Coturnix japonica: one gene and its partners. The protein of the gene in region 2 purifies or fractionates together with the protein of the main gene of each other region. This does not show direct contact. Links are inferred from orthologs where the notes say so. Each region holds a gene or a part of one and is shown on either strand. Other genes may lie near its edges.

Evidence for each region.
Region 1: the proteins of NAT10 (region 2) and AATF purify together in Homo sapiens (affinity purification with mass spectrometry; 3 studies listed by BioGRID and IntAct, with this or other methods). This does not show direct contact. The link is inferred for Coturnix japonica from reciprocal best matches to the Homo sapiens genes NAT10 and AATF.
Region 3: the proteins of NAT10 (region 2) and THUMPD1 purify together in Homo sapiens (co-immunoprecipitation; 3 studies listed by BioGRID and IntAct, counting the BioPlex papers as one, with this or other methods). This does not show direct contact. The link is inferred for Coturnix japonica from reciprocal best matches to the Homo sapiens genes NAT10 and THUMPD1.

The regions. Positions count from the first base shown.
Region 1 is NC_029534.1:7,136,915-7,144,403, forward strand, and holds the start of AATF (protein AATF), read left to right. Parts: upstream 1-3,279; 5' UTR 3,280-3,330; coding exon 3,331-3,415; intron 3,416-3,658; coding exon 3,659-3,847; intron 3,848-4,412; coding exon 4,413-4,820; intron 4,821-5,332; coding exon 5,333-5,470; intron 5,471-7,489. UniProt on the Homo sapiens protein: Part of the small subunit (SSU) processome, first precursor of the small eukaryotic ribosomal subunit.
Region 2 is NC_029520.1:6,322,528-6,330,735, reverse strand, and holds the start of NAT10 (RNA cytidine acetyltransferase), read left to right. Parts: upstream 1-3,794; 5' UTR 3,795-3,935; coding exon 3,936-4,043; intron 4,044-4,987; coding exon 4,988-5,079; intron 5,080-5,733; coding exon 5,734-5,905; intron 5,906-6,195; coding exon 6,196-6,318; intron 6,319-6,903; coding exon 6,904-6,965; intron 6,966-7,822; coding exon 7,823-7,937; intron 7,938-8,208. UniProt on the Homo sapiens protein: RNA cytidine acetyltransferase that catalyzes the formation of N(4)-acetylcytidine (ac4C) modification on mRNAs, 18S rRNA and tRNAs.
Region 3 is NC_029529.1:12,663,904-12,671,269, reverse strand, and holds THUMPD1 (THUMP domain-containing protein 1), read left to right. Parts: upstream 1-3,156; 5' UTR 3,157-3,196; coding exon 3,197-3,403; intron 3,404-3,660; coding exon 3,661-3,856; intron 3,857-4,414; coding exon 4,415-4,663; intron 4,664-5,261; coding exon 5,262-5,533; 3' UTR 5,534-6,932; downstream 6,933-7,366. Other genes in the region: acyl-coenzyme A synthetase ACSM3, mitochondrial-like, read right to left, coding at 1-33, 1,166-1,363. UniProt on the Homo sapiens protein: Functions as a tRNA-binding adapter to mediate NAT10-dependent tRNA acetylation modifying cytidine to N4-acetylcytidine (ac4C).

The DNA of each region.
Region 1 (7,489 bases), on a different chromosome or scaffold from region 2:
GCAGAATGGCTGCTGTTGGAGAGGCTGATGGTATCTCACCATGTTTGGCACTCACCGCTCGGCTCTGTTAATGGGACGGCACTGCGGCGGTTTGAAGGCCGGAGCAGTGCGGGCTGTGCTGCAGGCAGACACAGAACTGCAGCCACACATGTTGGATATGGGGAGAGATGGAGGGAGAACCTCAGGACAGAAGCCACCCCGTGGGGTTGGGCTGTGTGTGCTGAGGTTCTGTGCTGCGCTCCTCTCTGTGCTCCAGAATGCACACGCATGGTTCACTGTGGGAGTTCTCTCTGGGGCAAGAAATAGGTTTTTGCTCCATCTGAAAAGGTTTTGTGGCTGTCGCTGAGTTGCCTTCAAATTCCTGCCTGCTAGGAACATCCTCAGTCCGTGTGTCTATGCGGGTGAGCTGCGTTCATCACATCTTGAGGTGTAAGAACAATTAAGAGTTGATCAAATCTTGGAAACAGTTGTGGTTTTTGATTGAATGATCATTAGAGATATTGGAAATACTCAAATAAAAACAAAGCACGTGAATAAATTCATCCATAAGTATAAACAAATATTTATAGGGAGATATTTTTATTACAGACGCCTGAGTTGGCTGTAATGTGTTTCCTTGCAGCAGATGGGTTTGGTGTGCGCTCTTCCCTTCTTGCCCCCATCTCCTTCCTCTTCTTGTTCTCCTTTTTCGCTGACAAATTGAATCGCTGATACAAAGAGAACATCTCAGAATGAAACAGTGTCTAAAACGAGTAAAGGCCGGGCTGGAAAATTACATGTAGGGAAGAGCAGCTCTGTGTTGAGGCACTAACCATCCTTGTGTGGGTCATAATCTGCTGCTGCCAATGCCACACAGCACATGTGGGGGCTGCTGCTGTGTGGGTCCCCTGGAGCCCAATGGGAGCACTGGGATGGATTGCTGCTTTTCTTTGTTGGCGTATTTAAGGAATGCACTGAAAGAAAGGAAAAGGATCTCTGTGAATAAGGTGTGAGGGTAACAAACACAGGCACATCAGTGTGAGCCCTTTGCTGCCAAATCCAGAAGTTTCCTGGAAGGTGACATGGTCCACCAATAGGTGGGAGAAATGGAAACCTCTTATAGCAGCAAAAATCCCCGTGTTTTTATGTGATGTGTGTGGGGTTTGTTCCCCTTTTAGCAAATAAGTGTGGAAATGAGAAGTAGAATGAAGAGGAAGCAAGCTGGAGAAATGATGTCGGGTAGTTTGATGGCTCCTGGAGCTTCTAAGCAGGTGGAGGGCTGGGTGGGATGCACGGCCATGCGGCTGTTTCCATCACAGCTTTTGTGATGGTCTGAAATTAAAGGGTAAGGATAGATACCGTGTTTGTCCAGAAAATGGTCGTGAACCAAATCCACAGCAGCGTGATTTGAGGGCATGCAAACCAGGAATTAAAACCAAGTCTGAGAGTCGGGTTTAATGACCCCACTGAGTGGGAGGCAAAAAGAGAGAGAATTGATTGTAAAGAAGGAGCCTGTGCTGGTGAAACATTTTAACAACTACGGACTTAAATACCACAGATTCTGCTTCATGTCCTTATCTGAACTAGCTTCCAGAAGCCAACGTTTTTCTTAGGACTCACACAACTTTCTGTGTATTGCTTAGGAATTACACTGGGTACGTTCTGATTAAGCACTGCTAAATGCTGCCCTCCGTTTATTGAGGGGCTATTTATCATTTGTTGGGGTCGGAAACATCCCTTCTTCACTCCATGAAGTGCAGAGCTTTGAAAATGCAATTATGCATGGGGCAATGGCCAGTGGTTCTGTGGTTGGCTGAGTACGTCTCAGGAGCTGCTCAGGTAAGCATTTGTTTCTGCTCCTTCACTTCCTCTGGATTTATTTCTCCTCCCTTTGTTTGTAACGGCATCGTTTAGTCTGGAAACAACACGGCTGTGAACTTGGAGGGGGAAAAGAATGCAGAAGTGATGGCGGTTTGCACCTTCTGCTTTGGAAACGTCTGTAACGTATGTGGAAGAGCCTTAATTTCACATCACGGCAGCAACAGCAAATATAATAAAACACCTCAAATATAATGCAGAGAATCAGAGCTGTCACTCAGACCACGAGAAAATAAATACAAAATAAAGTTGAAATGGAACCGTAAATACTTGACTGCATAAAATCCAGGGGTTTTGTTTGTGATGATAACGTGTGTTTCCAGTGAGTTTCTATATAACTAGAGATGCAGTCCTCGCAGCAGCAGACGGTAATGCACGGGTTCCTAAGGAGCCGAAGGGCACCGGAGAGGGGGGAAAAGGGGCGAAGTGCCCCCCGGGCTCCTCCTGCGGGTGCCGTGCGGGCCGGCAGGGAGCGGGAGCCGCCGGGCCCGTAATTAATGATATTCCTCTGCCCTCTGTAGGACGAGCGGCTGCACTGAACGCTCCTGCTTCGGGGGAACCAACCTGGATCCCGGAGCCGCGGAGAAGCGCCGGGCTTGGCCTGAGCCTTCCCGTGCTCTAATTAGAATGCATGTCGGGATTAATCTTTGTAACATTCAGAAGCAGAGAAGTGGTGAGGGCGAGCCGTGTGCTGGCAGGAAGGGGATGAACGAACCGCCTGCTCGATGCAGTTGAACTTTGCAGCATCACAAACCTGCCGGTGCCATCCCAAACAAGGGGTCCCAATAGACCTCCTGGGGCCGCTCCTGGAGGGGTGGGAGCTTTAAGCCCCCACCTACAGCTCACGTTTGAGGTGCCGACCTGGGTCCGTTCTCACTGCCCACAAGAGATGCACCGCCCTCTATTCCCAGCCACCATTTCCAGGTGATACGTTGTGTTTGGGGGCTGGGAGGGGGTCACTTATCCCACATCGCTTTGCTGGGGTCCCACACGAAGCTGCAGGTGCTGGATGCAGCAGAGCCGTGCCAGGTGTGGGCAGTGCCCTACAGCCCCCACTGCTCACATGGCAGGGGTGTGCAGACTGGGGGTGGAGGGGGGAAGAAAAGTAGTAGATATATAGATATATATTGAGTTATATAGGACAGCTGTGCTGTAAGAGCCCATCATTCTCGTGCCTTCCAGCACTCAGCACATATGAATTCTCATGACAGTAGCGATGGAGGCGGGTCAGCCCGGTGCCGGGGGGGGGGGGGGGGGGGTTCGGATGGTGGATTTCGGTTCTTTTATGGCGGTTGTTTCCGCTCGAACCACCGCGTACTTTAACGCGGACAAAGAACGAGAGGGGGCGGACACGGCTCGACGGAGACCACGCCCCCAATTGAGACCACGCCCACTATGAGGCCCCGCCCACTTTAGGCCACGCCCCCTCTGGGCCCCGCGCGCCGCCAGGCCCCGCCCCCTCCGCTCGGCAAGATGGCGGCGCCCTTAGCGCAGCAGCTGGAGGAGCTGCTCAATCCCCGGCCCGACCTGCGAGACCCCGAGGATGACGCGGAGGAAGGTGAGAAGGGGTCGGGGAAGGGCTCCGTGTGGGCGGGGGGCGGCCTGGGGTAGGATGGGGGAGGCTACTGGGCTGCGGGCCGAGGCTGCACGTGGAGCCGCCGCCGTGAGAGTGGGGGGGGGGCACGGTACCGGGTGGGCCCTAATGAGAAGCTGCGGCCTGAGGTGTGCGGGAGGGTGGGAGAAGCGGCGATTTCTGGCCTGAAATTCAGTTCTGTTTATGTATTTGTTTCCTTTCCTACAGCCACAGTTGCTAAAGTGATCGACAGGTTTGAGGATGATGCTGCAGATGAAGTTTTACCTGTTGGTAAGATACGGAGAAACGCTTCGGCCGCCCTCTTAGAAGCTGATAAAAGGTACAGTGGGAAAGCGACATCTCGGAAAGCCTTGAGGGAAGAGCTGTGGGGAGATGCGCTGTCTGAAGAAGGATCTGGTAAGGAATCTTAGTTCTTTATGCTTTTAGTTGGGATACTTATAGTTTTGGCATGCTAGACCAAATTAGGGCTGTCTCAACTGAGATGAGAAGCTTTAAGTCCACGGTGGGGGGTTATAAACAGGTAGAAATAAGTTGGGCGTCTTTTTGAGGTGCCTTCTTGAAATTCAGGCCATGTTTTTTGATCTGAAGGGAAAGGAAATCCCCCATTGAGGTCTCCTTCTTCAGGAGGAGGGGCTGGGAATAACCTTGAGGTGAGGCTGAATGCTGTGTGAAGGGAAAGAAGTAGTTGTCACTTTAAGGCCAATATATCTCGATGACTGCAAGCACATCTCATTTTAAAGACAGATACATAAAGCAAATTATGAACACCCGTTTGATTACCATGTCACTAATTATTGTTATAGAAGATAAGAACTAAGATCTTTTCCTGGGTATAGACTCATTTACTTATTTATCATTAATTGGTCAACATGAAAAATTAAACCAAGTTTAGTGCTCAGATCAGTACCCATCGTTGTTGCATACGGCAGAGTGACAGATGTTTTTCTCTTTGAATTAATAGCTGCAGAAGCCTTAGATGAGTGGTACAGCGGCAGTGAAGATTCAGAAGACAATGGCAGTTTGGGCAGTAAAACAGAGGAGCAACCCAGCAGTGCTGGCAGTGAGCAGGAGGATAACCTGGAAGATGATGGGAGGGATTCCTCTGCCAAAGCACCAAAGTTCAGTTTCCAGAATGTCACAGACTTTGAGAAATTTGCAGAGGGGATGGATGATGTTGGGAGCAGTGATGGAGAAGATGAAGATGATGCCAGCATGGAAGAAGGAAGCGATGATGAGAAATACGAGGGGGAAAACCATGACCACGTAAAAGACGCCACTGACAATGAGGATGATGGGGGGGTGATGACATTCTCCAAAGGACAAGCGAGCGATGAAGTGGAAAAAGGAAAAGCGGTGAAGAATCAGCTGGGTTAGTGCATGTTTGCTGTGTGTTTTGATGAGATTCACCTTGCTGACACTACAGACGCTGCCCGTGACAGGAGACACTGCAGCATTTTAACTTGCTGTTGGTGCAGTGCGTGTGCAAGCTACAGCAGCCTGTGTTGTTTGCAGATGTTGCACTAAACGTGCTATGCACATTGATATCACCGCTCCTACAAAATCTCATATTATGGAGTATACTTCTCTGCTGGCTTAATTGAACCCACACTGAATGTACTTGTAGTTTGGGTGGGAAGGGGGACTTTACACTGTTAGTTCTGTGCTGTGGTGCTATCTGCTATCGTTCTTCAAATGCTGAAGTTTCTTCCAGTCTATTCAGTCAAGTTACCACTGTCCATTTACAAGTCCATTCTAACCAGTGAAGACAACGGAGTTTTTGTGGTTCTCAGGGTTGCAGTCAGGATCACAGATAGGATGGGGAAGGAGCAGGTGCTTTGGCTTGTGAAATAACTTCTTTTTTCCCCCCTTTCTCTTACGAAGCACTGTGGGATCACATCTTGGAAGGCAGAATCAAGATGCAGAAGGCACTTGTAATAGCCAACCGGCTTCCTCAGCCAGATACTTTCCCCCTCTTCAGAAAGGAAGGTGGACAGGAATTCGACAATGCTGTGGAGAGCTGTAAGAATTCTTTTAACTTCTTACTTTGCATAGAGTCTGCTGTAGCCGGTGTGTTTTTTATATGTGTGAGAGAGCATTAATAGGAAAGTGAGGGCTTTGAGCCACGTGTGTTTGTAGCTGTTAGTTTATATTGCCTTAATCATTAATGAGTGTATGGGAACTGCTGATGTCTGTCTATGTCTAACTGATCTCCGACAGCCTGTGTTGTCTCTTATGTGATGTTGGTGAGCCTCAGCTTGGGTCCTGCTGCTGTTTCTGCTTCATGTGGGTATTGAAGTTCATTTATCTCTTCTGTGCTGGTTCTTAAAAGTAAATGGCTTGGTTATTGCTGCTTGGTGTAGAGCTGGGATGCTTCTTTGTCCTGAGACACTGTGTAGATAGCAGTTCTGTGCTGGGTCTGTGATTGCAATGATTTGCCCTAATCAGGAGTAATGCAGCACAAAAGAGAAGGGCCTGTGCTGTCAAAGCAACAGCAAATATCACTTCAGTTTGGAGCTGCTTCAGATGTTTTTAGGATCGTTGTTAATGATACTGATCTGATGAGACTTGTAGTAGATTCTTGAACATGGTAAGTAAAATCTGCGTGCTCCGGCTGATAAACACAAGGTGCTCAACTTCATCTGTTTAATTTATTAATGCTTCGGTTTGTATGTGCAGAACTGATACCTGTGTGTTTGAGAAACTTTGACTTAGGCTGCCATGAGTTACCTTAGAACTACATCAAGAACTTCTGCCATGATCCAACCTGACTGTGGGCCTTACCCCTAAGCCAGTGTTTGACTGTTATCTTCCAGCTCACACCTGACCTGAGCATGTAGCTAATCAGCTTATTTGGAGTTATAGCAGGTGAGACTCCTTGTTTTAAAGTTAGCTCAGCTGCTTTAAATGAAGTGATTAAGGAAAAGAAGGCGAACTCCCAGCAATACTAAGCTGACCTTTCAGTGAAACGCATGTTATTAATGTGTTTAATGAGATGCATTACAAACTGCACTGAGCACCATGTTTCATTACAGGTCTAAAATGTAATATCATTAAAGACCTTTAACAGAAACAATGGTTGACATTTTGATATTCCCCATAAGCAAAATACATCCAAGAACACGTGGTGTAATACCATGCACAGTATGGCAGAGAGGTTAATCTGCCAGTTGTCCAGTACATTAAAGAAAAATCTGCTGTTAATAGCTGCTCTGTGATTCCCTGCCCACCCTGTTTTCATAATCCAGCCAGGAAAGTTTGCAGCAGTTTGCTCTGCTGTTCTAATGACCCGCATTCAGGTTCCACATTGAGTGGGGAGACAGAACAATCCAGCTGGGTTGAGCTTGGTGACCTTAGCAGGGGGCATGTTCAGTCTCATGGGTGGGAAGTATGGAGCTTAGGAACACTCTGATGCTGCTCTGTTTGTTTAGCATTTGCTGGTGTTCTCTAAGGGACCAAGTTTACATTTCTTTATATATCTTTTAAATGCAGTCTGTAATTGTACAGTAAAGTAGGTTACAGCAGTTGTTTGTGCTGATCTGCGCTGTTGTCCAAGGAAATATTTCTCTATTCTACAGAGGTGCTCTTACCAGAAGTTGGGAAGTGCCAAGCATGAAATGTAAGATTTGCATGCACAGATCATAGGAGAGTCTGGTAGTGCAGTGGGTGACAGTGATTCATTTCTCTTCCATCTCCACCATGAGAGAGATTTGGGACATCCCAGCCCAGCACATATGAGCTGTGGCGTGGTTTCTGTTAGGGAGCTCATGCCTGGGTACCAGCACTGTGAAGCTTTAGTTTCAGTGAGTGAAATGAGGTGAATTAAAAGAAAAAGATGCATATATTGTAATTTATTTAAAGCCTTTCTTGAAGTGATGGACCTTGATTTAGGAAGGCAGTCTCACCTTTCATCAATCAGCTTCTAGAAGGAGCTCTGACTGAGAGGTTTGGTGGGTTCTATACAAATAAACTTCTAGAAATTCAATTCTGTACAAATAAACTCTTAGAAACTCAATTCTAAACAGTGAGGTGGTGGGCTGG
Region 2 (8,208 bases):
CTTTGTATCGCAACTGAACTTTCAGAACTTCTTGTATTTTTTGACTTCGTTGCTGAATAGTCTGCAATTCCATACAAATAGGTGGTAATATCACTTTTCCATCTCACATGTGAAGAGCACAAACAAGTTTTTACAGAGGAGTGATAAGCTTTTGAAGATGATGCTCCACAGCAAACATTTGAATCAATGCTGCTGGCCAGAAGCACAGCAGTTGTAGTCAAGGCCTAGGAACATTCCAAACCAGTGTAGAGATAAAAACTGCAGTCCGGTAAGAAGTTGCTGTTGTGTGTCTTTTTTAGGAAGCTATTACTGAGATAATAGTCCCAATTGGTTTTCTTTTTTTTAACTGGAAAAAAAAAAAAAAAAAATAGAATACAAACCCTTTAATGCTGAACTGATGTAGGAAGCAGTTGATTTCTTTCTTTTCCTTTTTGTGTGCATCAGCTTACTTTGAAATGGTTGGTAGAATATAAGCTATTCAGCCTTTTCTGTTGCACACCAAATGCTAATTCAATAGCTAATTGTAGTTGGGTAGTAAACTTGCAGCATACTGAATTAAAGACCACTGAATTGATCAGAACATTCCGCTCAAGTTTTTATTTTGAAGCATAATTTAAATTTATTAATAAAACCCGGGTGTTTGAGAGGCCTCTTATTTGAGATGCAAAGTTGTAAGCCTTTTCGTGTATGAAAATGGTCTTTAGAATAGCTGTTCTACTGTATGCTGATAGAGGGAGATGTGTTGCGATAATAACTATAAAACAAGTACTTAATACGTGTTTAATCTGGGAATTTGCACTGACTCCTTTAATCTCAATACATGCAGCTAATAAACAGTATACTGAAAAATTGCCTCGAGTCACACTATGGCACGTAGATTCATTAACTGGTTTTCTGGCCTGTTCAGGGGGTCCATCAGTCAGCTTCATGGTTGATTGTAAGGGCCCAGCTTGTTTTCTTTGTTTGGTCCACTGCAGTGCAAGTGTGGTGCTACACGTTTTAAAAAGCTATTGAGAGAGAGGACTTGAGAGCTTTTAAGTACCTTCACTGCTTAGATGACTAATAGATCTGAGCTGCATTCGGATCAAAAGCAATTCTAGATCGCTTTCATTTAGGAAAAACAAATCTGTCTTCTGAACATCAAACAGTTATGATGGTAAGAAAGTGCAATAGGTAGCAGGTCTGGCCTGGTTCTGTTGTAGAGCCCTTTCTGGACACCAGTGAGCAAATTCCATACTTCTGTATTTAGATTCACCAATTGTTTCCATGGTAGTTAACTTTATTTTTCTCTGAATTGGTCTCTTTGCAGCATAACAGAAAGTAATGATTGTCTTCTGGCATGTGTAGCTATTACGAGAGAGGTGTTTTTATTCCTAACTGGGACTTCATTATCCAACATAGCAAGGCTGTGATAACATACAGTGTGTTTGAGAACCAGCTTTTATCGTTGCAGTCTGTAATAAAAGGATTCTTGAGTAAATCATGTGTAAAGTGGTTCCAGAGTTTCCCAGATGTTTCTGCCTAATATTGCTGTGTCTGGGACACTTAAGACCTTTCTGGACAATCTTGAGCTGCTTGTACTTAAGGTCAACCATGTCCTACTTACTTTTCCCTATATATTGGCTCTCTTCTGAAGAACAGCCCACCAATACAAATGTTGGATTTTGCTATGAAGATAATTCTTAATTCTAGGCTTAACTATGATTTTTCTTGTCAGGATATAGTAGTGAAGCATTGAAGTCTTATGATCAGACATGGTCCAGACTAGCTGCAAGAATGATAGTGATGGCAGGCTAAGAGCTACTGATGCGTACTGCTGGGACTCTGTAACTTTCAGAGAATTTCAGGACCTTAAAAGTCTTCTCAAACCTTATAATTTAGGTAGATTATCTGATTAGGTTTGAGGTTACCTTAATGTATATTGTTGTATAGAATGGGCGAGCTGTACTCTTCCCAAATGGCATTTGAGTAATGACTTTGGAAAGGGAGGTGTTGAAATGGCTTTAACCCTAGGCAAATATTCAAAGTGTGATAATAACAAATAATAAACAAAAACTTCCTGTGATTAACTGCAGATAGGGCAAAAACTTCGTAATCCAGCAGAATAAGGTAAATGATCAGAAGATTTTTGACCTTCCTGGTCTTTATTTGAAGGTCTGGCAGTAGCCGAGCCAGGTAGCTGATTTCTTCTTTTTAAACCATTTCTTTGCAATTATTATTCCTCAGAAATGCTTATCTGAGATGCAGATGTTAAGCATCAGTGGGCAAAACTGTGCTGTAATCTTCTGATTTCTCCTTATCTCAAGTCTGCTGTAGGTAATAAGGGACGTGAAGAAGCTGCTCGTTAAGTTCTGTGAAAGACCATCGGAGTCACACTTTGAAAGCTAAAGCTCCTTCCTCTTGTCCATGCAAAACTCATCTTGAATGAACTTTTTGAGGACTATAAAGATAGGAATTCGTAGATGGAGATGAGGTTTGCAATTAAATGAACAGAACTGCCTCAGTCTTTCAGATCCGCGTACCTTATTGTTACAGTGTTCCATCTGCCTTCTGTGTAGAACAATGAAGGCATTTAATCAGCTGAGCTGACACCATCAGTTCTGCAGATAAGATGGGTAGTTATCTTTTACCTCTGAGTGACCTGAAAATCAGTGCTTTGTTTGAGCTGCAAGCAAGAAGTCCTAAACAAGAAAGTTTTCCTTCTGGGCTTCAAGAGATAGTGGTTTTCTTTTTAAAACTTAAGCTTAAATATAGTTATGATCATCTTCTAGAAAATGCCTTGCAAAACTGCTTTGGGATCCTTGTAATTCTTTCTGTAAATCATAAGGCTACCTTATTCCATCGCAACATCAGAAACTAAGCGTGCAATTAGTCTTATACTAATGTCACATTCCTTACGTTCAGCTGCAGGATTAAGCACAAGAAGCTTTTACGTTACCTTTGGGAATATTCCGTTCTTTAATGTGAGATCAGCACACTCTATGCTCATGAAGAAAGGTAATGACTTAAACTCCTTTTGTTTGGCCGTGATGATTTTTTCAGAGGGGGAGGGAGAAGGTCCTTCAAGCTGTCCCAGCTGCAACTATTTGCATTTTGTGGCATATTAAATGTTTTTCATCCCAATCAGCACATCTTAAAGGATGCAAAGAGGATGTTTACTGTTAGCACTGCACCTGGCTGTTTGGGGATTGATATTGCATTCAAATAATCTAATTTAAGCATTAGGGAATGTAACCTGAGGGGAAAGCTGTAAGTGGGCTTTTAATGAAGCTTGAAGACTATACCTGAAAGAAAGCTCTGACCCTCATCTATTTATATAAAGATTTAGAGGCAGCATCTTGGATTTCTGTCTCTTTCTACATAATTTCATAATCTGGGTATGTTGGATTTCAGGTGTGGTATCACAGAGCCTCTGATAAGAAACTAATTTCCTAAATGGCTTATCTAGGAGGTGCTGTTCTATTTGTTTTCTTAGGCTTTTTAATATGATGTGATCAGTGTTGTTTGTGATTCTGTAGGTCTAGCCTTAATGGAAGCAAGGAAAATAGTTTCCCATATTCACATCTTAAAGCCAACTGGAGCAGTGCTATAGAGAACTGTATTAGCAATATGCTGTTCTAACTCAACAGTAATGCTTGTTTGGGGTGAGACTGATGAGTATCAGCTCTTAATAGGATAACAGCTGCACCAGAAGTCATGTTCCTTCAGCCCCCATCCCCCTTTATTCCTTCGCCCCGCGCTGAGGGAGCCGCCGCTGTCAGGCGCTCTCCGGGGCAGCCTCTCCTCGAGGTCCTTCCTGAGCGGCGTCGCTCTCGCCCTGCGCCGCGCGGCTCCCACGTGTGTTGGGGGCAGCTCCGCGGGCGCTGCTTGTGGAACCGGCGGTTTCGGCCGGGACACGGAGTGAGGGGAGAAGGGCCGAGAGCTCGGACGGCAACATGCAGCGCCGCAAGGTGGACAACCGCATCCGGGTGCTGATCGAGAACGGGGTGGCCGAGCGGCAGAGGGGCCTCTTCGTGGTGGTAGGTGACCGCGGCAAGGACCAGGTGAGCAATGAGCAGGGACGCCTCCGCTTGATGAGGTGCTCACAGCACTTCTATCCTGGCCTTTGGTGTCCGGAAAGCAAATGGGATCCTGGGGCTCCATCAGGAGAGGGGTGGTCAGCAGGGATAGGGAGCTGATTGTCCCTCTCTACTCTGCTCTTGTGAGGCCCCATCTGGAGTACTGTGTCCAGGTGTGGAGCCCTCAGTACAAAAAAGACATGGAGATTTTGGAAAGGGTCCAGAGGAGGGCCACAAAGATGATCAGGGGGATGGAGCACCTCCCCTATGAGGACAGGCTGAGGGAGTTGGGTTTGTTCAGCCTGGAGAAGAGAAGGTTGCGGGGTGACCTCATTGCAGCCTTTCAGTACCTGAAGGGAACTTACTGCCAGGAGGGGAGTAAACTCTAAAGGGCTGACAATAACAGGACTAGGGGAAATGGTTTTAAGTTAAAAGAGGGAAGATTTAGGTTGGATGTTAGGGGGAAGTTCTTCACTAGGAGAGTGGTTAGGCCCTGGAACAGGCTGCCCAGGGAGGTTGTGGATGCCCCGTCTTTGGAGGTGTTCAAGACCAGGTTGGATGGGGCCCTGGGCAACCTGATCTAGTAAATGTGTATGTTTGGTGGCCCTGCCAGGCAGGGGGGTTGGAACTACATGATCCTTGAGGTCCCTTCCAACCCGGGTCATTCTGTGTGATTCTGTGTGATGAGGTGCTCAGAGCACATCCATCCTGGCCTTTGGTGTCTACAGGGATGGGGCATCTGCTGTCTCTCTGGGCAACCTGTGCCAGCGCCTCACCGCCCTTACTATAAACATATTCTTCCTTTCATCCACTCTGTTAATTTGAAACCATTTGCCCTTGTCTTGTCTCAGCAGACCCTGCTGAAATGTATGTTGCTCCTTGTTAGCTTATGAATACAATCATGCGTTGATATTTCTGTGTCTTGGCAGGTGGTTATACTGCACCACATGTTGTCCAAAGCAACTGTCAAGGCCAGGCCGTCCGTCCTGTGGTGTTACAAGAAGGAGCTGGGCTTTAGCAGGTAAAGGGGCCTTTTGCATCTCGTGTTGCAGTAGTACTCTGTGTGAAGGGGAAGCTGTGTGGCTGCTCTGCATAGTACGGGCTGATTTGATTATCAGGAGAAACAAGTCTTATTTTTGCAGCAGATACAGGATGCTCAGTTTTCCAGAGCTAAGATTTGGCTTCACTGGTATGGTTGGCATCAGTGCTACGTACTTCTGGTTTCCTTATGTAGTTTCAACACTAACCCTGTTGTCCTGAGCCAATTTCTCCCTCACCTTTCTAATCTCAAACAGCCAAAACTTCAGTGCCTCAGTAGTATGTACAGCTGGGTACAGATGAGGCATTACAGTTGCTTTCATTTCAAAAAGGGGTTTAAAACGTTAGTTCTTAGATTTGCGATCATACTTGAAGTCCAGGCACAAAACTGGGAAGGGTTACTTGAAACTGTGTGATTCCAACCAGATGATTTCTTCCAAAAACAGCTGGTTCAGTGTTGTTTGTGCTGCTCTGGGCCAAAGGCACTGGGGAACATACCCTGAGTACAGTGTTTGTAATGCAAGACTTTTCCTTGGAGCCCGAGCTCTGAATTCCATTTAGACTTGAAACTAGGAATGAGAGCAGAGTCTTCTCAAACCATTTCCCAGAAAAACTTACATGGAGTTTTATTCTCCAGCCACCGGAAGAAGAGAATGAGGCAACTGCAGAAGAAGATTAAAAGTGGAACCTTGAACATAAAAGATGATGATCCTTTCGAATTGTTTATAGCAGCCACAAACATTCGCTACTGCTATTACAATGAAACTCATAAGATCCTTGGTAACACTTTTGGCATGTGTGTGCTTCAGGTAAGGAATTCAGCTTTTTACGTAAAGGATGTTGCACTAGTATTGATTGCTTTGAGTTGAACAGCTGCAGTAATTCTATTTGTTGCTTCTGTTACTTAAGTTTTGATGGCCTTACTTATGAGTTTTGTGGGGGGTCACAGCCTTAGAATTGTAATGGAAAGTTGGTTAATGCAAATGTTAAGTTTAATTCAAACTCTGATAAATGTTTATAGTTCTTCTCTTCTTTTTAGTAGCTGCTATTGCACTTGAGAATTCTAGGCAACTTTAAGGTTTATTTTTTCATTTCCAAGGATTTTGAAGCCTTGACTCCAAACCTGCTGGCTAGAACTGTAGAAACAGTGGAAGGGGGTGGAATTGTAGTAATTCTGCTGAGAACAATGAACTCACTGAAGCAGCTCTATACAATGACCATGGTAAGTTCAATGCAATATGTCTGTTTTACATAGGCAGGTACATTTGGTGATGTTAAGTGCTTAGTTTTTGCTTTTGTTATGGGTTGGAGTCTTCTTTCCATTACTTCTGCTGCTGGTTCTTTCATTTAACCTGGAGTGAGGTTTGTGTTTGTGCAGTTACACCATTCCTTGTGCTGCCAACAAACATAGCTGTGTTTTCTGGCCCAGTGCTAAGTCACCCAGAGCTTCACCATTCCCATGTTTATAATGCCAGTAGGTGAATTAAAGCATTAAATTATTTCTACTTAGCATCTCTGTGCTGCTTTAAATGTTCTGTATGTAGTAGATGTGGCCTTTAAATCAGACAAGAATACGTAAGACTGCACTGAAAAGTCTTGGTGGGAGAAGTATGTTTTTAAAGCAGTATTTGGAATATCTGATTGTCTCAGCAAACAAAGTCAGAATCCAGTCTGGGATGCAGCGCTGATGGAGAGAGTGAATGTAGTCCACAAGGGTGGAAAATAAATGGGATTGTCCCATGAGGTAATAATGTTTTAAGTGTCTCTGCTACTGCTGCTCCTTCTCCAGACTGACTTTTTGTTTCAGGATGTCCACTCTCGATATAGAACAGAGGCACATCAGGACGTGGTAGGACGCTTTAATGAAAGGTATGTCATCGGGCATTCAAAGTGTGTGTCAGAAGGGTGCCTAGAGCAACATCATGTGTTCATATCAGGAAAGTATCCTGTAAGTTTGCATGAGAATTAGGGATTCTTTGCTGCTTCTGTGAAGTTTATATGTACTGTCCTGGAATGAATGTTATATCTTGTTGGAGAAACTGTATACAAAATTTTAGCGTTATATTACAAAGGATGTGCAAATTTTCCCAGATTTGTAAAATCTTCTGAGTTCTGTTATTGAAATGCTACATAGAAACATGTACTCTAGATAAGGAAATTCAGATACTTGGTGCTTACTATACCTACTATAAAACATGAAACTGCTCACTGTGGAGTCTTCTCTGTGGCTTTAGAACTTCCGTTTAAAGGTGATTCCTCTCCTTTTGTTGTATCAATGAAGTTGTTATTGAGTGACTGAGCCCCTGCTGTAGCCATTGGAAAAAATCGTTCTTTTGCATGCAAGGGGTATTTTTGTGGTGTCTGAAATTAGAAGGATGAATAAACCAGGCGCTGACCACAGTCTTTGCTGGTGGTCAGCATTTGTCACAATTATCTTGAACTTCTATGCAGCCACCTCCCGCTTAAATGCTGGAAGTTGCTTTCTAGTTCTCTTGGTGGATCATCATATGTTAGCAGTTTTCTTTGGAGGCGTGTTCCCCTGTAAGTGGATGTCTGTCCTGCATAAACTATCCTGATAAGAGGCATGTTACCAGTTATGTGAACTTGTCTCATCTTAGTTTTAAGCTGCTGTTGCTGTAAACACTTAGAACAGAGGTTTAATTAATCATCAAGATGCAGTAGTGTTGCTAGTGCTTTTACTGAGTTGCCTTTGCTTGACTGCTCAGGTTCATTCTGTCTCTGGCCTCATGCAAGAATTGCATCGTGATTGATGATCAGCTGAATATCTTGCCCATCTCCAGTCACGTTGCAAACATCACACCTGTTCCACCACAGTCACAGGTCAGTAAGCAATGACAGACACTTCTCACTGGGAGAAACTAGTCTGAGTTGAAAAGCATTAAAGGGCTGAAAAAGAGACGGCTTTCCTTTCACACTGATTGATATCAGATAATGGCATAGACAGATGCCTTTGGAATTTTCAGTGACAATTAGGAAATTCAGAATCTGTTTCTACTTGAAATGGATTTCTTTTGTGTCTGAGCTAATTGATTGGCTTTCAGAATATTGGCATTGGTTAGAAAACTGACCAATTGCTGCTGCTTCCTCTTAA
Region 3 (7,366 bases), on a different chromosome or scaffold from region 2:
CCACAATGCGGGGGTTTTAGGCTTTTTTCCCTCCTATAGAACGACAGGGTACAAGGCAAAAGCTTCACTTTAGGAACATACCACCTGTACCTTAATTAGGTCTAAGGAAACAAAGCATTTGGCACTAATTCAGCGCTGGAGGAATCTGGGGATGAAGCTGAAATTTGCTGATGGCTCCAAACGAGTGAGTCTCTCCATCAGGAAGAGCAGCCTACAAATATCATGTTAGAAATTAAATTTGCATTCCTTTCCTGAGCTCATGGTGTTTCCCCCTGCAGAGGCTGTCCAGCCTTCTGTTCCTGGCCACAAACAAAGCTGCCAATGGACACAGGTGCAGCTGAGCTGTGCCTCAGTTTCACAAACTCTCTGAGTTCATTTCAAACTTATTCTTGAATTGGGCCTCTTTGTTACTTCTGAGATTAGATCTGAGGTTCAGAAGCACAGCGTGACCTCTAATCAGCTAACAGATGTGTGAAAAGTGAAATGTATGTACACAGTGTGCTCTTAAGGGGACTGCTGCTTTAGCAGTGACATTGTACAAGTCGCTTCCTGAGCAAAGAAAACCTCACAGAGGCAGCAAGAACATGGCATCTTGTTTTCTGTTTGAAGGTAGAACAACACTAAGGTTCATCTCCAGGGAGAAGAGTTCTGCTGTGTACTTCAGAGGGCAAAACTCTTCAGGTGTTCATCCCTTGCTTAGAGCTTGTGCCTGTTTGGGCACTCCAAGTGTTTTGGTTTTGTGGACTGATAGCTCCTGATGCAAACATTTCATGACCAGAAAAGAGTGGGAGGTTCGGCAACACACGGTGTTACTCATTTTGCAGGCAAGCAGTGAAATGTGTGTGGGCTGAGTGCTTTGCCTCACACACACAGGCTGGGTGCTTGTCACAGCTGCTAGGGGAAGTGGTGCAAGGCTCAGAGTGCTCCAGTTGGTCTTGTCCTTAAGGCACAAATTTACTCAGGGTCAGTGTCCCCAGAGTTACTCATTAAAGAAATAAATCGCTCAGGCCCACAAACAGGGCAGCATGTGGCCTAGGGGGTTTACAGGTTCAAACTACATGAGATGGCCATGAGATTATAGCCGGAGCATAACTACAGCAGCGTGCTGGATGGATGTGCCTGGCAGCTCAGCTCTTCAGCAGCAGAGCAGATGAGTAGCTGTTACCTTTTCTACTTCGGTCCATCTGTCTAACACATTGCTCGCAAAGTTGAAGTACTCTGGCACCTCTGGTCTGTACTGTTGCTTCATGAGTTCGTAACTAAACGAGGTTTGAGCTGGAGAGCTCTGGCTGCAAAGCTGGCGAGATCTTCTCAGGGAAGCGTGCAGGGACACAACATTCAGGGCCTTCAGGAGACACCGCATAGCAGCAGCAACTCAAGCAGCCTCCAAGAAATGCTGCAGATATACAGATACAAACCTGGTGTTAGCCATGGAGTTTCAAATCAGCATTTACTACCATGCAGTGGAATGAGCTGGAATAACAATGACTGTATCTGGAATACCTGGTGATGACAGTTCTGGATCTGCTGCTGTAGGTCCCTGCTCCCACTGATCATCACACAGCTGAGATCTGACCCAACTTGCCACACTCAGGCCAGACAGCAGTGCAGCGTATCCATGTGTCACAGCCTTTCCCTCCCCACAGCTCCCATCCATCTGCTGGATGGTGCTCGACAGCACTGCTGTTACATAGGAGGGGCACTGAAAGCACCTAAAGTGTGGCTGCTGGGAATGGAAGGACTGCTACTAACTGACAACACTGAAGTAGCAGCATGGACTAAGATGGTGCATAGAAAACCTACAGTCCCGCATGAGTTTACTAGCTGATTGCAGCATTACTTGCTTCAAAGGCATCTGCAGTTTACCCAGTTCATCAGTGCTGGGGTTATGCTGCTTGCCAAGAGTACAATGCATATAGGAGAGCCCTGAAAATGTTTTAGTACTGCTGTTTTAAACACTGCTTTGATGTGCAGTCAGCCAAATCCACCTCTGTCTGAGCTGGGGAAAGTTTGAAAGACTCCATGATAAGGGATTCAAAATGCAGAGCTGTGTTTCTCTACCGTCAGCTTAGGAAGAGGGCAGAAAACTCAACTAACATTATTTGCATGCATCGTTGACATTTGTTTGCAAAATAATACAAACACTGATAACTCCTTGCTGAATTAATCATCATCCAGCCGTAAACCCACATGATTTCAGCAATTTGGTGAAGCAAAGGGACAGATTTTGATCTATAACATTCAATCTGTTTATGACAGACACAGGAGAGAATCCCAGCGAGATGGAAGGTGTGGAGAGGCAAGGAGAACAAGGAATGCAGACAGGTAAGAGGCACATCAGTCTTGTTCCAGTACCACAAAGTGTCCCGTCCAGCAGCAGCACGGCTGGCTGGGGAGCTGGTCACCTTGAGCAGGGGCTGTCAACTCACCTCTTACTCTCAGCCCTCCAGCAGCTGAGATGCGCTGCAGCTTTGATTGCTTGCACAAATCCAAGGCTTCGGTTGCACAGCTCCCCTGGCACTGCTGCTGTGCTCAGTGACAGCCGGCTGCTTCTGTTCCACGTACTTTGGACTCACACAAGGGGCAGACAGGTCCCATCTGGAGAGAAGAGCTGACAGGTTTCTGCAGAGCTCAGAGTGGAAGCAGAGAGTGACGTGAAGGTGCAAATCTCTCCTGTTTCCTTCCAGTTCCTACCCCTGGCTCCGGACAAGTGCAGCCTTAGAGCCTTGCTGCAGCCAACTCCAGGCTGTTACACTGTGTGTGGGGCAGCACAAGGAACAGCAGATCGTAACTACAGCAGCGCAGATGTGACTTGATTCCTGGGGTGCTGCAGCTGGCACAGCGTTCTGTAAGCGCTCTGCCCACGGCCGTGGCATTTCTAGGCTCTTTTTGCCTTTTCCTCTTTCTTAACCAAACATCCGTGTAACCTCTGTTTATTATTGATTGTACAACGCGTCAACGGAGAGACTTCATCTAGAGGGCGAGCAATGAAGAGCGCGGGATGAAGCAAACACACGCAAACACACACAGACACCCACACACACAGACACACACACACACAGACACACACACACACACACCCGCACCCGCACCCGCCCACCCCGCGCCCAGCCCCGCCCCCAGCCCCGCCCCGCCCCGGTGCCACGTGCTGAGTCGCGCAGTGTGACGTCATCTCTCCGCGCGGCTCCAGGCTGCCATGGCCGCCCCGCAGTTGTTGGCTCGGAAGCGGCGGCTGAAGTCGCAGTTCTTGGCTCGCTCCAAGCGGCCCCGCGGCGCCGGGCGGCAGCTGGAGGCCGGGATGCGCGGCATCCTCATCACCTGCAACATGAACGAGCGCAAGTGCGTGGGGGAGGCCTACAGCCTGCTGGGCGAGTACGGGGACCTGCTGTACGGGCCCGAGCAGGTGAGTGCGGCCCGTCCGACGGGGGCGGGAGTGGGGGGGGGAGGATGAGGAGGAGGATGAGGACGATGATGGCGGCCGCGCGGTCTCGCTCCGTGTCCCCGCCGTGTCCGTGTCCCCGCCGTGTCCGTGTCCCCGCCGTGTCCGTGTCCCCGCCGTGTCCCTGTGCCGCTGACCGGGTTTGGGTCGGGCCGGTCCCTCGGTACCGGGTGTCGGCTCCGCTCGGCGCTGACCGCGGGACACGCACCGTGTGCCCGCAGCTGCCGGAGCCCGCGGAGCGTCTGTCGGGGAGCGACAGGGAGGAGGAGGAGCAGGAGGAGGAGGAGGACGACGCGGAGGCCGCGCTGAAGAAGGAGGTCGGGCAGATCCGCGCCTCCACCGAGCGGCGGCTGCGGCGCTTCCAGTCGGTGGAGAGCGGCGCCAACAACGTCGTGTTCATCCGTACCCAGGGAATAGGTGCGTGTGCGCGGGCCGCACCGCGGGGATCACGGGCCACGCGGGGCCGGGGCTTCTCCTGGGGGGGGGGGAGCAGCCAGGAAGGTCGGCGGCATCATGGGCTGTATCAGAACTAGAGCAGCCAGCAGGACGGGGCGGGGGGCAGCGCTCAGTGCTCAGCCCTGGGGAGGCTGCGCCCCTAGTGCTGTGTGCGCTGCTGGGCCCTCACTGCAAGGAAGATATCGGGGACCTGGAGTGTGTCCAGAGAACAGTAATGGGGTCTGAGAGGTGTCTGGAGCACATGGCTCATAGGAGGAAGCTGGGGGAGTGGGATGGTTCAATCTCAAGAAGAGTCTCAGTGGAGACCTTACTGCACGGTACTGCTCCTGAAAGGAGGCTGTGGGAGGGCTGGGGGTTGGCCTCTGATCCCAGGTAACAGTGATAGGATGAGAGGGAATGTTCAGATTGAGGCTGAGCACAGTGCAGATAAGCATGTATTTCCCCGGCTTATAGTTATAGGGGGGAACAAGGGAGAAGATGCCTCCAGGTTGATTCTTACACTTAGCTGTTTCCTTGTAGAACCTGAGAACCTGGTGCACCATATTTTAAAGGACATTCATACCACTAAAAAGAAGAAAACCAGAGTCATTCTGCGCATGCTGCCCATTTCTGGAACTTGCAAAGCTTTTCTGGAAGATATGAAAAAATACACAGAAACGTTCTTTGAGCCTTGGTTTAAAGCCCCCAATAAGAGTACGTTCCAAATCGTTTACAAAGCTCGTAATAACAGTCATATGAATAGAGAAGAAGTAATTAAGGAGCTGGCAGGTACGTATAGATCACATACAGAACTGAATCTGAGTATACAAGCAGATCACAGTTTCATGCATAACGTGGGTTAGGCTGTTTGAGGAAAAGTGCTGTAAATGAGGAGGTTTGTTGCTTAAAATCTGCATGTTGAGTTGTAAAGGCATCTCTGAGGCTGTGGAAAGAGCTTGACATGAGCGTTTCCTGTCGATGTCTCGAGGTGACAAAACAGAACGGCGTGCAGTAGTGAATTCAGTTTGGTGTGTCAGTTATATGTGCTTAGAAATGACTACATCAAGTTGTTTTCTCTGAGCACTATACTGAAAAATACACGTTCCATTTAATATGGGACTTGAAAAACAGCTCTGCAACAAGTTGCATGCTTTGGCATCTTGTTTCTTGCTAGTTGCAGTAGGATAATTCTTAGTTACTGTAGTTCTCTGGGTAGTATTTCTTAAGAATCCTTCTCTGTTCTGCGATCTTACACAATTGCAGTCAGTAATAATTGGTTACGAGCAGAGGGATGTTATCTTCTCTGACTTGTATCCCTTTCAGGAGAGCACGCTGATGTTCTGAAACAGTTTTCCCAACATCTTTTAAACTATATCTTGTTTTACAGGAATTGTGGGCAGCCTTAACCCAGAAAACAAAGTTGATCTCAATAATCCACAATATACAGTTGTGGTGGAAATAATAAAGAATGTTTGTTGCTTGAGTGTGGTGAGAGACTATGTTCTATTCAGAAAATACAATCTACAGGAGGTGGTGAAGAGCAACAAAGAAGACATGAAACAGAACCCATCAAACGTGTCTGAAGAACAGAATTCAACAGCCGTAAAACCAGAAACCGTGGAAGAGAACTTAAAGGAAGTAAAACAAGAACAGGAATGATGGTGAGATGGAAGTTGAACTCCATGGGAATTATATGCAAACTGTAGAAAATGTGGTAGAAAGGAAAGATGAACACAATAGAAAGCTATTAAAAATATTGCCTGGGAATTTGGAGAGGATGTTTTAAGGAAAAGTGGGTTTTGTTTTGGGATCTTGTTTTTAAAATCCACATGGAAGAATTGTAATTCTTGCTGCCAGTGTTGCTGATGCTGCTGTGGATTTCCAAGGGCTTCACCTCTGCTGAGGTTTGCTGCCATCCTTCAGCAGTTTTGTTCAGTTGTTTTTAGCTAGCACTGAAGTGTGCTTACATGCATGCATCTATAAAGGTGGCCAGCCTGCTGTACACTGACCCTTCTGCCCTAACTGATGGCTACAGAAATCAAAAAGCGGGGCAGGATGAGCTCTGTCAGGAGGCATCATCAGAAGTGAGAGACCTGAACATGACAGTTGTTGGAGAGGGTTTTAGGGAAGTGATCTGACAAGTTTTGGGGCTGCAGAACTCAGATGTGTCTTTCTATGTGAACAACATGAGCTCCAACTCCTAGATATGTTTTTTTCCTGTATTCATCTCTGAAAGAATATGGTAAGCCTTAAAAGGGTATTTTACGGGTTGCTATGATCAAAATACTTGAACTCTACAAGAGGATTTGGAGTAATAGACAGGACTGCTCTAGAACAGAAGTACAGTGCAGGCCTTGCAGATGATTTCAGAAGCTCCATGTGTGTACGCTGGCTGTGTGTGCAGCAGTGATCAGCTGGCAGCAAATGCTGCATGCGGCCACTTAACACTTTCCAATAATTTATTGCAAATAGGTTTTTGTTGGGCTCTTTGAAAGCATAATTCTTGGGGGTGAAGTTTTAAAGTCTTCGGTTTTATATGTTCTTATTATTTCTTAGATCTCAAAATTTGGATTTAAAAACTGCTTGGAAATTTCTCATGAGAAGAGCTCTGTGCTATTCCATATTGGATAAGGGGATATGAGCTTGGCTTTTTGTACAGGCTTAGCCTCGCAACATTTGTTTTGTTCCATATTGAAAATGAATGTCGGTGGGTTTTCTTTTGTCAGTTTGTTGTGGCAGCTCTTGATATCGCAGTGACTTTAAAATAAACCAAGCCAAGGAGTGCAGCTGCTGCCTGCTCTGTGAGGGCTGCCGCGCTCTGTCCATCACACACTCCTGCACAACTGCCCAGTGTCAGTGTTTCCATTTCCATGGTGGGCAAAGCCCGTCCTGCCGAACGCTGCTTGTTCCTCCTGATTTAACAGGAACAACCTGTTCAGGTCTCTCAGTGTTTCCATTTTCTCTCAAAGCTGTTACAGAAGGTGGAAATTTAAGAGGACTTTTTCTCTTGTCCAGTCTTCCTGACCACTTGGTTATTAAAGATTTGCTTTCTTACCTCTGTCAGTGTTTTCTTTTGGAATTTAAAGCTTTTTGAATGAGAACTGAGGTCCCCTGGGGCGGGTCCTGCTGTACCTGGGGCATTGCTGCAGCTGCCGCCCGTGGGGCCGGTGCTGCTCCGTGTGTCTTGTGGGGCTGGTTGGTTTTTTCCTTCTACGTGTCACTGCAAAGTGCACGAAGCTGCTTGAACGTGCTGCACAATGGACTGGCAGCCTCTAGAAAGGCTTCATTACAACTCTGAGATGAACAGCCCCGCGGTGCTGTCATGCAACATATGGGAAGAAAACTCCCAACTCCAGCGCAGGGTCAGCACACGGACACACCGCAGTGTTACAACACGGACACACCGCGCTGCTGCCGGAGCCTCCCGTATCCGTCCACCATGCCGGCCGGGAACCACGTGACCCAGCAACACACCGGAAGCGCCGAGCTCCA